Linked DNA regions of Stegostoma tigrinum. The protein of the gene in region 2 interacts with the protein of the main gene of each other region in a biochemical or structural test. Links are inferred from orthologs where the notes say so. Each region holds a gene or a part of one and is shown on either strand. Other genes may lie near its edges.

Region 1 (8,673 bases), on a different chromosome or scaffold from region 2:
GGGTAGTCATAAAAGATCCCATGATGCTATTGGAAAAAGACCAGAGCAGCTCTCCCTAGGATCCTGATTAATATTAACTAACGCCCATGAAAACATTTAACCAAATCATTATCACATTGTTACTTGTGGTACCCTGATGCTGAATTTTTAACATTTCCATGGTATTATACAATGCATTATGGCATTTTTGAGTTTGTCAAAGGAACATTATAAATGCAATGACTCTCTTTCTTTCAATAGTGGCTTTGAGCTTTACAACATTTCCCTGTCGATTTCCATGCAAAGGACTCAATATTCCACCTGCAGGATGTTTCTATAATCCTATCTAATGAAGTGATGGGCCTGGTCCTGGACTGATGATGGTGTCGAGAAGTCAGGTTATACTCCTTCTCAGATGGTTTCCCATGGACAGGAATCGGCCACAGGAGATGCTAACAAATATGAGTTCTGGGACACGGCTCCACAGTGTGAATTTACATTCGCCATGACTTGAATTTTCTTCTAGTCAATTCAAAAATTCTTTGGTATGGACTACACCATAAATAGGTTTTACATCTTTCAGAGTCTTTTGGTATTGTTGGGAGGTTCCAGTGATTTGCGATGCTTGTTCCATTGGGCATGGGAGACATTTGCGTTAAGGATCTGGTCACGGGGTACCATTGAGCTGTTACTATCCCCCAGACAATGACTACTTGGGGTCTCTAACCCACATAGTATCCCACAGGGAATTACTCACCAATCAACATTCACCCCACAATAACCTGCTGAGAGTTCCATGTAAAGAATTATTTTGTGGCACTACTTGGCTCTGAGTCAAATGATAAGGGGTTTAAGACCCAGTCCAGGTTTGTTGACATAATCTAACCTGTTGGTTCAGTGTAAGACAAAGAGAAAGAACATTATTGGAAATGCTCACTTTCACATGAACTATAGCAACTTGAAGATCAAAGGTATCTTCCAGATGCCCTGACCAATGTTCATCCCTCAATCTCCACCAAGAGTGACTTCTGTGTAAAATTGGTGTCATTGATTCAGTCGCTAATTTTAACACGTCCCCAAGCAAAAATTTGGGAGAAATCTGTAACTTGCTATTGCTATTTATTCCATAAAACACAAAGCCAAAGTTAATCCCTCAACAGTGAATTAATCAGTCATTATCACATTGCTGCCTATGTTTTATCGGCAATGAAGATCTATGCAAGTTAACAAACGTCTATATGAATGGACCAGCTGTCATCAACACATTTCTGTGCTGCAAGGGACCTGGACATTCCATCAATAAAGACTCTGCTGCATACACCTGATTAAATGGGAGGTCTATGAAAGAAATACTACTGTCCTTCTTGAAGCCAGTTCCACAAACATTCAGAAGAAACCCCAGCAAGATTAGCGGTGAAGAATTGAGCTCAGTGTCCAGTGGATGGCTGAAATTATCTCGCCTGCTGGGTCCCGTCTTCTCAACTACTGAATGGTCAATGTTCCAGGGAAGGGGAAAGAACACACTATAAAGACTCTCCGAAACTCTCCTTGAGGAACAGCATCACTGACATCAGTGACCGGGAGGAGATTGCTTCCATATGTTCAAAATGGCAACAATCTTTCTATCAAGTTTGATCACATTTTTGCCTGAAAACATTAATGACGAAGTGACGTAATGGCAGAGAAGGAAAGAAAAGAAAGCAAATCCTGCACCCCAGATCCCACTGCCTCATCCAACCAATGTACCCAAAGATCTGTAGGTTGAGAATTGGCCTGTGAATCATATTGGGACCCATGCTGGAAACACACAATCATACATTGACGTCATCTTCAATTCAAGGGACAGGTGGCAATGATGCTGCCTGTGTGATCTTTCTGTGCACAGATTGGCTACTTCGTCTGCATATATACCAACACTGATGACATTTCAAAAGTACCTCATTGGCTTTTTAGTGCTTTTGAAAGTTCTGATGATGTATAAATTTGTTAGATGGTTTATGTCTTTATAAATTTAAAGTAAAAGCACAACACACTGCATGCGATGAAAAGATGTGTCAGTCTATCAGCTTGATATCTATAGCCAAAGACATATTTTCTTAGGGGCTCAGAGGCTGATATTGGAGTCATAGTATGGAGCTGGACGAACACAGCAGGCCAGGCAGCATCAGAAGAGCAGGAAAGTCGACGTTTCAGGTCAGGACCATCTGTATTTATTTCCGAGCTCCCATCTCCATTTCTGAAGAAGGGTCCCGACCCGAAGTGTCAACTTTCCTGCTCCTCTGATGCTGCCTGGCCTGCTGTGTTCCTCCAGCTCCACACTGTGTCATCTTAGGGGCCCACTCCCCACAATCTTTTGCATCTTTAAATGGGCCCGTGATTTGTCTCACATATTGAGTAGCCAACTTTATTTGGGCATATTCCTGGGTCTTTCCTTTGGTATTTAAAAATGTCCGTGGCTAATAAATGCAAGTAAATGAACGAATCAATGAAAATGAATGAATTTTTTTAATTGTTTCCTGTTCGGGAGGCACAAAGTTGACAATGTTTGCTCATCCTCACATTTCCCTAATGTTTTGCTCCAATAATCACAGATCAGCAATAGGATACCACACTGAGACATCAGGAACAAACTAATAACTGAAGCCATTCCTATTTGTCAGCTGTGGCACTTAAACAGTGAACAGAAAGACAGGTACAGAGTTTCTTTGAGTAAAAATGATTGGCCACAGAACAGTGAGGTTTTGGAGCACTATTACTGTATATTTCTTTATCTCTTTATTGGTTTACAGGCTTCAGCACCACCTTCAAAGCTCTTTGTCTATTCTTTCTCCCTTAAGATGCTACTTAAAACATACCTCTCCATCACTGTAACTATGCTTTGCTTTGGGCCTTTGTTTCCGACTTGGTGTCATTTTTCCATCCTATTATTCTGCTGTGATGATACATTAAAGGTGCTATTTCAATGCAAGTTGTTGCTGGCAAAGACATTCTCAAACTCGGGAACTATTCAAACGTTGGGCAGAAATTAGCGTCGTCCCAAAGAAATGATTGTCGTGGAATATCCATGGCAAGATTTAACTTGAATATCAACAAATTGCCTTTATGCAGTGTCTCCAATACAGTTAAAAAAAGACTTGGACTCCCCACAAGGGAATTATCAGACACAGATAATTGTGTTGACACAAAGGAGATATTAGGGCCAGTGAGCAGATGTTTGGTCAAACAAGGAGGTCTGAAGGAGCTTTTTAAAGGTCCACAGAGGAGAGGCAAAGGAGTTTAAGAGATGGAAGTCAGGACTTCAGGCCTAGACAACTGAAGGTACAGTCACCGATGCTGGGCCGAAGGAAATATCCAACAGTCTTGGCACATAAACAAAGAAATGATGCTTTCGGCCTACCTGAAGTAACTGCTGGCAGCTGCCAACACAACCCGGTGACAGGAAAACTCTCTGTCATCCACACACAGGACAACATCCGTGAGGGAGCTGTCCAGCCGGAGGTCATCCAGGCCACCCTGCAGGATAGTGGAGAAGCCGGTGTCGTTGAAAGTCACTGTCCCGTCTGACGAGCTTTCTGTCAGCCCCTCAACAGCCCAGGTATGTTTCCCAGCCTGGCAGCTCGAGCCCTTGTCGCTGCTGCTCTCCACTACAACAGCCATTTCGCATACTCCTGCCTGGTTGCTCCACTCCTCACAGGCTGATGCAGCGTTTTGAGGTTTCACAGTCAGTTGTAATGTTGCCCTTTGACGGATTTCCTGCTCATGACTCGCTTCTTATCAGAGACCAACACATATGCAGAACAGGAAGAGCAACACTTTCTCGTATTTTTTTCCTTCTTCGCCATCCTCCCCTGCCCCCCTCACCCCCTGCCTGTACTGATGTGGAGTTGTTAGCCCATCGAATGATCATAATAAAATGTTTTTGCACCTCTTTCAAGTTTCCTTTCTGCTGTACAGAGAGCTGAAAGTTACTTCACTGGATACAGCTCCAATAATATCAGAACGTTTATAGCCATTGGGTGTAAGAGGCAAAGCAAGGGTTTGGAAGATGAGCGTGTCTGATCTGAATCCTCAATGCGACAGTCAGTTCCAATCTGAGGGATGCCTTCCCCAGAATAAGATGTTTTCTGGCAGGTCCACAACAAGACAGCGATGATTTTCCATCACGCAATTCCTTTAATGTTCCACCATCTCTCCTGGAGGATAATGGTGCTTGTTGATGTTTGATGCTATGGGCTTGGAAAGTTCATACATTGTGTTGCAAAGTGCAAACACTGCCTCTCGCAGTGAGTTCACAAATTCTAACCCTAGTGCAAAGCTATATCACTGCCGCCAGAGGGTGGTGGGCTTATGGAATTCATTGCCGCAGAGTGCAGTGGAGGCCGGGACGTTGGATGCCTTCAAGGCAGAGATCGACAAATTCTTGATCTCAAAAGGAATCAAGGGCTACGGAGTGGGGGGGGGGGGGGGGGGGGGAGTGCAGGGAAGTGGTGTTGAAATGCCCATCAGCCATGATTTAAATGGTGGAGTGGACTTGATGGGCCAAATGGCCTTACTTCCACTCCTATGTCTTATGGTCTTAGGATGAGGGGATCTAGTGCAGCAAGTGTGACCAATAGACAGGGCAATGGATCCCGTTGAAACACAGTCGTCAGGCTGATAGGGAATCAGGATTAAGCATTCTCATTATATGTAACTGTAGTGTAATATTGCAGTCTCCTGAGACAATCAGCGCAGACTGAATATAGTTCTGGATTTGAGTGAAGATTGTAGCTTCGGCTGTTGGCTGTAGACGTTGGTTGAGGATATCACCTTGTAAGGGGATGAAACGTTTGCTATCAAACCTCCCAGCTCGACGAACATACCAACATCCACAGACTAAATATAATCACTGGAATAAAGTGAGGCAAGTTTACAAATGATGCTTTTTGGGTTATAGGATGTCAACTCAAATAGAGCATTTTTTCACTTTTTAACCCTTGAACCCTATCAAACTGTCCCAAGTTAAGAACCACAGATTGGGTGTTGAGTGAAGCTTCCTCTACACTGTGTCAACAAACATTTCCAGTCTTAATTACAGTGCAAATCTCTTGTACGGTCGCATCAAACACTCCCTGGGCAGTTACAGCCAAGGTCGACATAAAATAAAACTCCCTTATCCTGTCTCGTCATGTGTTGCTAAAACAAGGATAAGTTAGAGACAGAGTAAAGCTGACTGTAAAATTGAGAAATTCTCAGGTCATATGCATCACAGTTGGCTACAGAGTAGAAACTGTTCCGTGAAGCATTCCCAGGTGAGAAACAGCACAGGTCAGATATAGAGTAAATCTTCCACTACAGTGTTATAACAAGATGTGGCAAGTTATCAATAGCAGCAATTCAACTTCAATCCAACCTCAGTGTCAGATTAGCACCGCCTGCTGCAATAGTCTATCCTCTGACCTTTCCCAGGGAGGTTGTCAATTGCAAGGCCATTTCCAATTTGTGTAAAAGTGTGAACAATTCCATGGGCCACGCCAGAAACTTGAGTGCCAGCTATCCAAATGCAGGGCAGATGAAACTTATCAAGCATTTACAAACCCCTACTTTATTGGTCTGCTCTGTATTTCCAATGCAGAGTGCAGGGAGTGATCTGATGAACTTTGACAGCAAATTTGCATCAGGTCTGTCAATCCAGTTCATTCACTAGATCATCTCCACGATGCCCCATACATTTTTTGAAGGCAATTATTGCTAAGTAAACAACTGCGAGTGTTTGAATGTTCTGTGTGTTCAATGTTGCCTGCAAAAGGTAGAGACGCTTGGTGGTTTGGCCATGTTAAATTGCCCATAGTGTTCAGGTGGGTTATAGCGGGGTGGGTCTGGGTGAGATGCTTTGAGGTTCGGTATGGACTGGGCCGAAGGGCCTGTTTCCACACTGTGGGGATTCTATGATTCTATGAAAGCAATCTGGTTTATTTTAAGCATGTCACAATATTAAAATAAGGAAGTTGTGCAACAGTTACAGGCTCTTGATCAGTTTTCTTCCGGAGTATTGTGTTTAGTCTAGGAGCACTGCACCTCAGGAAGAATATAGTGGCTTGATTGAGTACACACTAAGACTCCCAGAATGATAAAAGATAAAACTATTAGGACAGTGCTCATACAAAAGGTACTCTCTCCGAAATCCCTCTGCCTCAGTACTGAGGCCATGCCAGATTTTGGAACTTGCTGACTTTCAGGGAAAAATTTGGAATGTGTTAATTCAGGTCAAGATCCAGTCAATAGGGGAACAGGAAAACCAACAGATATTATAAGTTAATCACCATATCGCTGCTGATATTAATTCACTTCACACGCAAAGGCTCGTACACACCATTCCCCACTTCCCTACATTGGTTAGCCGATTTAAATTGACAAAAAATTGTCGTGTTTGTGTGTGTGTGTGTGTGTGTGTGTATATCCCTGTATAAATGCACACAATTAGTTCAATTTAGCACTCTTCTTAGAGTCACTTAATATTCTGGCTGTTTTCCAGGTCATTGGATCTGTTGTTATTTTGCATCAGAGGAAGTTCACTTTAAGCTCCGCCCTCCTCTGTCCTGTTTGGAGAAGTGGGCCTATTGTTCCACAGAATGATCTGCTCCACTAACTATTACAGATATCCATCTCACTTTGAGATTAATCCCCTTCCCCTCAGTTATGCCTTTTCCGATGGGACATCTTAAAACCTTTGCTCAACATTCATCTACCAAAGCCGGAATAAGAGTCTAAATCTCAGGATATAATGGACAATTCTTGTCCTTCCTGGGGCTGGGGGCTAGGGTTTGAATTTATAAGCTCAATCATTGTTAAAATGTTTTTGACAAGCTTTACTTTTTCCTTAAACATATAACACATCATCATTGTCACATTTGTGGAAGGCTACATGATGGTGCGTTTTCCCTCCATTACTTCAGAATATTGTGTTGCACAAAATCATTATCTTTAACTAACCCTCCCATTCCCTCCCTCACATCCCTGGGGGGGAACTGACTCCAGCTAGAACAGAGCTGAATGTGTTTTGAGATAACAAGGTGTAGAGCTGGATGAACACAGCAGGCCAAGCAGCATCAGAGGAGCAGGAATGCTGGCGTTTCGGGCCTAGACCCTTCTTCAGAAATGGGGGAGGGGAAGGAGATTCTGAAATAAATAGGGAGAGAGGGGGAAGCGGATCGAAGATGGATAGAGGAGAAAATAGATGGAGAGGAGACAGACAGATCAAAGGGGCGGGGATGGAGCCAGAAAAGGTGAGTGTAAGTGGGGAGCTAGGGTGGGGATAGGTCAATCCAGAGAGGATGGACAGGTCAAGGAGGCCGGCTGAGGCTGGTAGTTAGGAGGTGGGGATGGGGCTTGAGGTGGGAGGAGTGGATAAGTGGGAGGAAGGTCGGACAGGTTAGGGAGGCGGGGATGAACTGGGCTGGTTTTGGGATGCATTCAGGGAGGGGACATTTTGAAGCTTGTGAAGTCCACATTGATACCATTGGGCTGCAGGGTTCCCAAACGAAATATGAGATGCCGTTCCTGCAACCTTTGGGTAGCATCATTGTGCCACTGGAGGAGGCCCAAGATGGACATGTTGTCTAAGGAGTGGGAGGGGGAGTTGAAATGGTTCGCAACTGGGAGGTGCGTTTGTCGCGAACTGAGCATAGGTGTTCCACATGTGTGACCTATTTTGATTTATGTGCAACCACAGACGTTGACTGTCATCTGAAAGAAAGAGCATGCATTTGTATAGCACGTTTACTATCTCAGGATATCTACCCAAAAGCATTCACATTGACTGACATACTTCGGAAGTGTTGCAATATAACAACCAGTGTGTAGAGCTGGATGAACCCAGCAGGGCAGGCAGCATCAGAGGAGCAGGAAGGCTGACATTTTGGAAAGGTCTATTTCTTCAGAAGGGTCTATTTCTGAAGAAGGATCTAGCCCAAAACATCAGCCTTCCTGCTCCTCTGATGCTGCTTGGCCTGCTGTGTTCATCCAGCTCTACATCTTGTTATCTCAGATTCTCCAGCATCTGCAGTTCCTACTATCTCTAATAACCACTGTGGCTTGCTTGTGCACAGCACATTTCTAAAAAGCATAGTTAAATAAATTACCCTTTTGTATTAGAGATAATGGGAACTGCAGATGCTGGAGAATCCAAGATAATAAAATGTGAGGCTGGATGAACACAGCAGGACAAGCAGCATCTCAGGAGCACAAAAGCTGACGGTTCGGGCCTAGGCCCTTCATCAGAGAGGGGGATGGGGTGAGGGTTCTGGAATAAATAGGGAGAGAGGGGGAGGCGGGCCGAAGATGGAGAGTAAAGAAGATAGGTGGAGAGAGTATAGGTGGGGAGGTAGGGAGGGGATAGGTCAGTCCAGGGAAGACGGACAGGTCAAGGAGGTGGGATGAGATTAGTAGGTAGCTGGGGGTGCGGCTTGGTGTGGGAGGAAGGGATGGGTGAGAGGAAGAACCGGTTAGGGAGGCAGAGACAGGTTGGACTGATTTTGGGAGGCAGTGGGTGGTGGGGAAGAGCTGGGCTGGTTGTGTGGTGCAGTGGGGGGAGGGGGCGAACTAGGCTGGTTTAGGGATGCAGTAGGGGAGGGGAGATTTTTAAACTGGTGAAGTCCACATTGATACCATTGGGCTGCAGGGTTCCCAGGCGGAATATGAGTTGCTGTTCCTGCA
Region 2 (8,525 bases):
ATGAAGAAAGGTTGAACAAGTTGGGTCCAAACCCATTAGACTTAGAAGAATAATCTCATTAAAACGTGCAAGATATTGGACGGATACTAGGAAGATGTTTCCTGTTGTGGGGAAACTAGAAACAATGGACACAGTTTAAGACACCTCCCTTTTAAGAAGAGGAGAATATTCTTTTCTCTTGGAAAGTTATTAATGTGAAATGCTCTTCCCTAGAGAGAAAACAAGAAGAGACTCAGTCAATAAATTTGTTTAAGGCCAAGTCAGATAAACTTGAGACAAGTGAGTAAAGTGTTAGGATAAGAGGACAACCATTGAGACCACAACCATATTAACCCTGATCTTACTGCACGGCAGGCTCAAAGGGCCTAATGCCTACCCTCGTTCCTAATAACTATATATGGATATATGGATTACTATAAAACAAATTAATTCACTTGAAACAGAGTTTGGTTGCATTGCAGTTACATTACTGAACCAGTAATCCAGAAGCTTCAGCAAGAACCAGTGTATGCAAATTCAGATCCATCAAATGTAATTTAGGAATTTTAATTCAGGAGAGGCAATGGCCACGACTATTACCACTGGACTATGAAGTCAGAGACATAGGCAATGTTCTGGATTCAAAAACAAAATCTGGAATTAAGAATCTACTGACCATGAATCTATTGTCAACTGTTGGAAAATCCCATGTGGTTCATTAATATCCTTCAGGAGTCTGCAATCGTTTTCTGATCAGGTCTACATGTCACTGCAAACCCACAGCAATGTGGGTGGCTCTTAACTGTCCAACTGGGTTGGATAATAAATGCTGGCATAGCCAGTAGTCTTCATCTGATGAATGCATAACAAAGAAAGTTTCAAATATCTTGAAATAAAAAGATTAAAATAAATCAACTATGCTGTTAGATTTTTGTGAAAACCCACCTGGTTCACTATTGTTTATGAAAAGAAAGTCTTCCATTTTTACACACAGTCTAGTTTCCCAAAAATGTAGGGGTCTCAAAAATAGCCAAGCAAGCCACTCTGAAGTATCACTCAAGTATAAATATTCAGCAGTTGAAGAAGGCATTGAATCACTACCTTTTCAAGGTAACAATGGATGAACAAGAAATGCTAATCCTATCAGTAATACCCAAATCTGAGAACACCTTCTAAAGAAATATAATTGCTTCCAAATTTAGTATTTGTTAACAGAAAGACAAGAAATCTGCCAAATTGCAACTTTCAATTATGTACCAATGTAAAAATGCATCTAACTACTTACTAGTCACAAAGCAATTATGACTTGAACAGAGAACAAAAATTAAACACAGACCAATGAAGAACTTTCATTAGCTTTCACATTCACCCAATAACCAAATCTATTTATTACAAGCTGTATATTTTTTTTTAAATGTTTTTTCTACTTAATGTATTGTACATATCATGAATGTGACCAGCTCCAAGATTAGATATCCAAAGCAACTGTATGATTACATCCTTTTTGTATAAATTCATTCATGGGAATGGCTTGGCCAGCACTCTGCTCATTTCTAATTGTCCTAGAAGAGGTGGCTGTGAGCTGTTTCCTTGAACCGCTGCGGTTCTTGGGCTGGGAGGATAGCTACTGTGCAGTTGATAGAATTGTTCCAGGATTCTGAACCAGCAAAAGTGAAGGAAAACCAATATACTTCCAAGTCAAGGTTGTGTTTTGACTAATCGTGAACTAGCAACATTGTGCTGTCAGTTGTATTTAGGTTACCTATATAAAATACGATTGCTTTAAGTTGGTCAAGTTGACTTGACACTAACACTGTAGGGAATCTAGTCTAATCGAACAGAGCAGGTCTTGCAGAGAGACGCTTCTTACATTCAAACATAGGAAGGGTGTGACTTTACGTGAAGGAAGCATCGAGTCAGGTCATCTGCGACTATTGTAATAATCAGCAACAAATATATTAGAGTGAATGTAGTTTTTTTTAAGTCTGTGATGTAAAACTTGTCATTGTGTCTAACCAACCCGATTTAAGAAATAAATGGAAAAGCAGAAATGACACGGCCAACCACTGTATGAAGTGCCAGATAGGGCAATGCTGATTGCAGATTTGTGCGCGCTTATTGCGCAATTATATGCACTCAATGGAAACAAATAGCAACTATAAGAAGGCGACGTTTTAATGTTAATTCTAAAGTAAATCACAAACCTAGAACGGTGTTTTTTTTCGGAGGGGACAAGGGAGTGTCAAAACGTTCCTGATTACAGAAAATCTCGTGCATTGCTAGGGGAGGCAGCCGTTTAAAACACCTGATTCCCTGAGCGCCGAAATAGGGCTGCGTGATCGGGCAAGGCGCATGTCACAGAGCTTGAGGCCGAGAAGATGATTTTTAAAAATGCCTACGATGCCTCCAAAAGCCTGGTCCCTTTCTCCATCAGACTTGTGTCAGGACAGCACAACACACCCACAGCCTCACAGCACTGATACTTCGGGAAAACATGGCGATTACACTTGTCATCGTGTGTCGGGGAAGCCAGCTCCGGCTGCGGAAGGGCGCCGGGTCAAGCCCAGTCGTTCGCCTCAACCGCAAATTCTCCGGGTGTCACATTTATTCGGCGCTGCCTTGGTGCCGAGATACAAATGACAGCGGGTTAAAGCTGCCTCGCCTCAACACAACGAAAGGATCCGCACCTCAACCTAACCTGACAGGCTTTCCTCCCACCCTCATCGCGGCCAGCAATAATTGACAGGGGCCCCAGCCAATCGCAATGGTAACTTCGGACGAAGGATTTGCCAAACACCAATCGGCAGGTCCGGAGGGTGTGGCTAACAAGGGCTACAGGCAACACGTTCGGTTGTCTTTGACAGCTGCTCCCCGTAAAAAGCACGGGCGGCCCGGGGGAGGAAGGGAGGTTGGTGGTGAAGGAGTAAAAACTCTTTACCTTTTCTGTAGGCACTAAGAAGAAGTAACATCCATCTTTCCATCGAAGAAAGAAAAACTTTAATAAGTTAACTTCACAGAAGCAATTAATGGATACATGTAAACAGCGGCTTAACCGCGGGTCATAAAAGCCGATGGAAGGTCGAGTCGTTGGCGGTGCAGCGCTGCTCCGATTCCGACATTTTGCACCGGATCGTGGCGACTCCCCGTTAGGGAGACCTTAACAGGAAGGGAGTATCTCTGCCGTGTATCCCTCCGCGCAACGGTCTCTCCTCACAACAAACACTCGGCTTCTAAGGTACGGGAGGATCCCCATCATTCAATTCCTGGGCTTTAATCTTTTCTTCTTTTCCACCCCTTTCCTGGTTGCCTTTTTTTTTATTGCCACGACTTGTCGGTTGTTTCTCTTCCTCTCACCCCGCCCCCACGCGCCCTCGGTCGCCCTGCGTCTCATCGTTTCGCCGGGCACTACTTTTCCGTGTCGCGGAAGGATGTGGCGGTGTGGAACGGTCAAGCCGGAACGAGCCGCTTTTTTGAGGCGGAGGCGACGGTGACGGTTTGAGTGGGGCTCGAAGGGGTAAGGCCGACAAGATGACGGATTTCACATCGTCTTACCCATGGCCAGAGCAGACAGCAAACGTACTCCCCACCCAAACTTGGGTTGTTTTCTTTTCTCTGCAACGACCACCTTAAGTGAATTGTGTTGACACGCTGAGAAGAAGGGCCAAAGTTGACTCACGTAGTTGTGTAATCAAGCACACATACTGTGTTTGGAGAAAGTCAAGAGGGTGCATATCATTAAAAAAAATTGCTTGCACCTCCCAAGGGTCAGGGGTTAGGGTTAGGTGGTGTTATTATCTAGCCGAGGCACTTTCAAAAATCACCAAAGCAAAACGTGCGCCAACGCTGCAAAGTAAATACCACATAGTGCTGGAGAAACGCAGTAGGTCTGTGGAGAGAACAACAGCTAACTTTTCGCATCTAGTGATCCTTCGCCAGAACTGCAGTTAACTCTTGTTTTCTCTCCACAGATGTGGCAGACTTGAGTTTCTCCAGTGATAGTAGGAACTGCAGATGTTGGAGAATCTGAGGTAACAAGGTGTAGAGCTGGATGAACACAGCAGGCCGAGGAGCAGGAAGGCTGATGTTTCGAGCCTAGCTACATCAGAAATTTTTGAAGGTCCCTGACCCGAAACGTCAGCTTTCCTGCTCCTCTGATGCTGCTTGGCCTGCTGTGTTCATCCAGCTCTACACCTTGTTATTGGAGTTTCTCCAGTACTTTCTTTTTGTGATGCATGATACTACTTTTAAAGGTTACTGTTAATTTATGGTATCTATTAAATTTGTAACCCAATAGATTAAATTACAACGTTCTTTGCAGTATCAAGTGTGTAAATCTTGACAGAAAATGTGAAATAACTGAAACATCACAATATTACCAGTATTATACAGTAATCAACTACATTATTTATGCATAATAATTGTATCATAAATAACCCATGTGCAGGATGACATTTGGTGTGCTGAGTTGTTGGTGTCAACTTGCACCTGCTGCCAACGCAGAAACATAATAAAGTATAATGAAGAAAAAGAAAATCAAATAGCATGTAATGAGTTGTTTCAAGATAGTAAGTCTTGTTTCAGAAAATAGTCTAAACCATTCATGTTTTATGATTTATTTTAGAGTCACCATTAAATATCAATCTTATTTGCATACAGTCAAGAAATGAAAGATGAGAAATAGGTTACCACCTGCTGTCCTCTCAAGGGGCATTAATACAAGTCTCAGCACAGCATACTGTGCAAAATTTCTTTGCACAGGCTTTAACACATTATGCTTCCAATTATGTGATCTTCTAGCACAATAAATGATTTAAACTAATGTGGGAGTATGGATCTGTAAGGAAAGTGGAAAATTTGTTTAAAAGTCTCAACCAATCTGTAACTAATTATGAGAGATAATGGGAACTGCAGATGCTGGAGATTCCAAGATAATAAAATGTGAGGCTGGATGAACACAGCAGGCCAAGCAGCATCTCAGGAGCACAAAAGCTGACGTTTCGGGCCTACACCCTTCATCAAAGTAACTAATTATGGAAGGGTGGATAGGCAAAGCCCAAAGGAAGGTCACCATAGTCTTAGAGGACCATAGGCTGCTCTTTCATTAGAAAAAAAGTGACTGGTGGTGGTGGTGGTTTAACCTGCGAGTCACCACGCCTCAGGCAAGAAGGGCTGGGAAGGACAGTCCCACATAGTAACCTCAGCTGGTGAGACTATTTGATAGCCAGCTAATGCAGTGCTAAGAAGTTGACAAAATTATTTCTAAAATTGGGATTATTGCCACTAAACTTTCCTTGGTCGATCAATGTCAGAAGCCAGGTTGATCAGTTTGGTGTACCACATACCTGTTTGGAAAGTCGTCTTGTACCAAAGCAGTTTACTGCTGACCCTTTATTTGGATGATGGTGGTAGCTGAATTTTAATTGGCTTAAATCAACTCAGGAGGCTATGACAAGTCATTTTGGTGAATGATATTTCACAAGAAAATTCTGGTATGGCTCCACAAAAGAGATGCCTCACACACAGACCTCATCCAATTAGACCACAAGACATAGGAGTGGAAGTAAGGCCATTTGGCCCATCAAATCTACTATAATTGGCAGAGTGGACATGAACAAAATAGACAAAATTCTGACTAAGATATATTTTTGAATGAAAACATAATCTTTGTTTTTCAAGTAAAGAAACAAAAATAGCCCTGAATTGTCCCACACTGTATCTCGTACAACCTTCCACTCTTCACCTCCTTACATGTGCAAATGGATTCTTTGGTACTTTTCTTATGCAATTAGGAGAGGTGAAAGTGTTTGCCACTGTTGATATCGTTTAACATTCAGACTGCCAGCGTCATATTTAGAGCCCATCTGCACAGCACCTAAGATGCTGCAAGACAGGAGCTGTCCCTCAAATGGCTGTGCCTCCAATATTATCAGTGGTGAAATGGTCCAAGGCGGCAAGTTAGCTCCCTGCTGTGTATAAGGAACCCAAAGCTGCTGGTGGTTGGAATGATGGAGAAGACAGCAGAACTTTATCTTGTCATTACAGGAGACCACAACACCAGAAACAATAACCATGACACGGATAATGATTCAAGTCACTGCTGTGTTGTAAGTGAAAAGGAATGCATGTTATTGCACGGTAAAGGCTAACAATTATCTGCACATTATGAGTAGGTCCCACCATCATTTCTCTGATTCACAGGTTCACCAGTCAATCGAATACTAGCACTCCACACACATCTCATCAAGACTTGCAGACGACAGCTCTCATAATTACATGAATAAGGTCCACTTAACAGCTCTCATCCACTTCATAATCCAAAACTACAAACCATATCTGCCTATTGTGCTTCATACTTGCTCACTGGGAACACCTCACCATTTCTCCCAATTCTGCCTGACCAGTAACTACTCTTTCATCGTACTCAATCCTTCCCTGATGTCACCAGAGGACCCTCACTGAATGTTGCAGCACCCCTGCCTGACTAAAGTCATCTTTGATTTCACTGAGGACTACTCCCCTTTCACTAGCGGACATTTGATTGAAGCACATGCAGCTGCTTAAGCTGCTGGCACACGATATATGTATGATACTGACATAGCTTGGCATTGTACAGTGATATGTCCATCCCCTTGGCTGTTCAGTATTCCCCAAATGTGATTAGGAAAAACAGGTAGCCTTTGTGCTAAAACGTAATGCAGAGAGATTGACGGCTTCCAAGTAAGCATAAATTAGATAAGCATTAAAGTAAAGCTAAGAATCCATAATATGTTTCCTGTTTAGATGCATGAAATGTCCCTGTGTGTAAAGCAACCTTACAGAAGCATGCAAGTCCTACATGTCCTTGCAGGAAGATGGTGTCCATGGACCACGGTGGCTTAATGTGATGAAGACCCCAGAGTTAGATGAAGGCAGGGACTGCATTTGGCAAGCTGCAGCGAGGTACCTGCTGTGATTTACAAGTCAGGAATTTAGGTTGTCTGGTTTCTTGGAAAAGGAGAGAATTACTAGTGGCAAAGAATGGTAGGTTGGGATGTTTAATGAGATGTAAATACATTGAAATAAGGTAGTCACCACTCAATGGGGACATTCTTTAAACGTTAATCGGAAAATTGGGAATATGTTTTCTTGATGTTGAGATTCAAATTTTTAAAATGCTTACTGTATTTGTTCAACTTGCACTTTCTCAACTTTGACCATGCCAGTTCAGGAAGGGAAAATTCTGCGCATTGCGTCAAATATATTTAACCCAAGATAAAGTAGTTGATGGGTAGCTGCTGAATTTATTGCTGACTAGCAAACAGACATGGGATAATGTACCTCATGGGCAGCCTTACAGTCAAATTTCCTACCAGATTTGTTAATTAACCTATGCATCTTGTCAGCAGAACTTCTAAGACATCAACCAGAGGCTATTTAAAGTAGGATGTCCCTCTCGGAGCAAGATTGCACTCCTTTCTGATTGATTTTGCAGTGGAATTGCAGAGAGAGAAAGTGATTCAGATTGCACTGTTGCTTGTACATCGAAATTGTCTTGACTGTCCCACTGCAAAACATGAAGTTATGGAGAATAATTCTTTTCCATCCAACTCAATGAAGATACAAACATCAAGTGTATGGATTCACTGCCAAGATTATGACTTCTGGGAATATCACTCCCATAATTGGTAGAGTGCAAAAAGCACCTCAGAAGAATGACAATGGTAAATATTCTTTATATTTTTTTTGAATTCATTATTCACACCCACCATCACATTCATTGTCACCCAACAGAAATCCACACCATACCACTACTCACTTGAAAACACATTTTCCTTGCTTCATTCACAGCACACAGTATTCTCACTTTCCCTTCCTCGCATCAAACTTAAGACATAATTTTTCATTCTGAATCCAATTACTTTCAGCACCTTTACAACAAGAGAAGCTCTACAATTGTGTTCTTTTCTCTAGCAGACAGGCACTAACTCTCACACTTCTTTATGCAGAACAAGTTAGTGCACAGCATAAAGAAAAACATTACTGAGAAAAGACCAATCAACATCAAGAATCTTTTCAAGTTGGAGTAGCAACCACTGCATTTGGCGACCTTGCCAGGTCTGTCAGAATAGGACACAGAGTTTGAGGTTCTGCCTACTTTTGAGATTTTGCTGCATCTCCTTAAGAATGTGAGAAAGACATTAAGTTACATTGCAAGTCTGCAGTCCCCTGCTGTACATTACTCAATGCCATACCAAGTCCTGTCCTTTTTCGATTTCTTTTAGGTTCTTTTCAAAAGTCACAAAACTGCAGAAGATATATCAGAAGAAAATCCTGTGAAAGTACTGTTACAGCATGTATTACACCCAATAACTAGTACAGAGGTTAGCACTGGTGATAGGACAGCGCAGGATTTGGCTTTTCAGAGGAAGAATAAAGTATGATTAAGGAATCTGATAGCAAAATGAAATATATTTGTTTCACGTATGCAATTTCATGAGATATATGCAGGCCACAGCTGAAAGTGTGGAAGAGTTTATTTTCCAGTTCTTGTCAATGCATCTCACATG

What was found.
Region 1: the proteins of rc3h2 (region 2) and klhl6 form a complex in vitro, tested with the Homo sapiens proteins (2 studies listed by BioGRID, with this or other methods). The link is inferred for Stegostoma tigrinum from reciprocal best matches to the Homo sapiens genes RC3H2 and KLHL6.

The regions. Positions count from the first base shown.
Region 1 is NC_081367.1:10,818,764-10,827,436, forward strand, and holds the start of klhl6 (kelch-like protein 6), read right to left. Parts: upstream 3,672-8,673; 5' UTR 3,637-3,671; coding exon 3,377-3,636; intron 1-3,376. UniProt on the Homo sapiens protein: Involved in B-lymphocyte antigen receptor signaling and germinal center formation.
Region 2 is NC_081382.1:22,885,602-22,894,126, reverse strand, and holds the start of rc3h2 (roquin-2), read right to left. Parts: upstream 3,371-8,525; 5' UTR 2,918-3,370; intron 2,679-2,917; exon of another isoform or gene 2,184-2,678; intron 1-2,183. UniProt on the Homo sapiens protein: Post-transcriptional repressor of mRNAs containing a conserved stem loop motif, called constitutive decay element (CDE), which is often located in the 3'-UTR, as in HMGXB3, ICOS, IER3, NFKBID, NFKBIZ, PPP1R10, TNF and in many more mRNAs.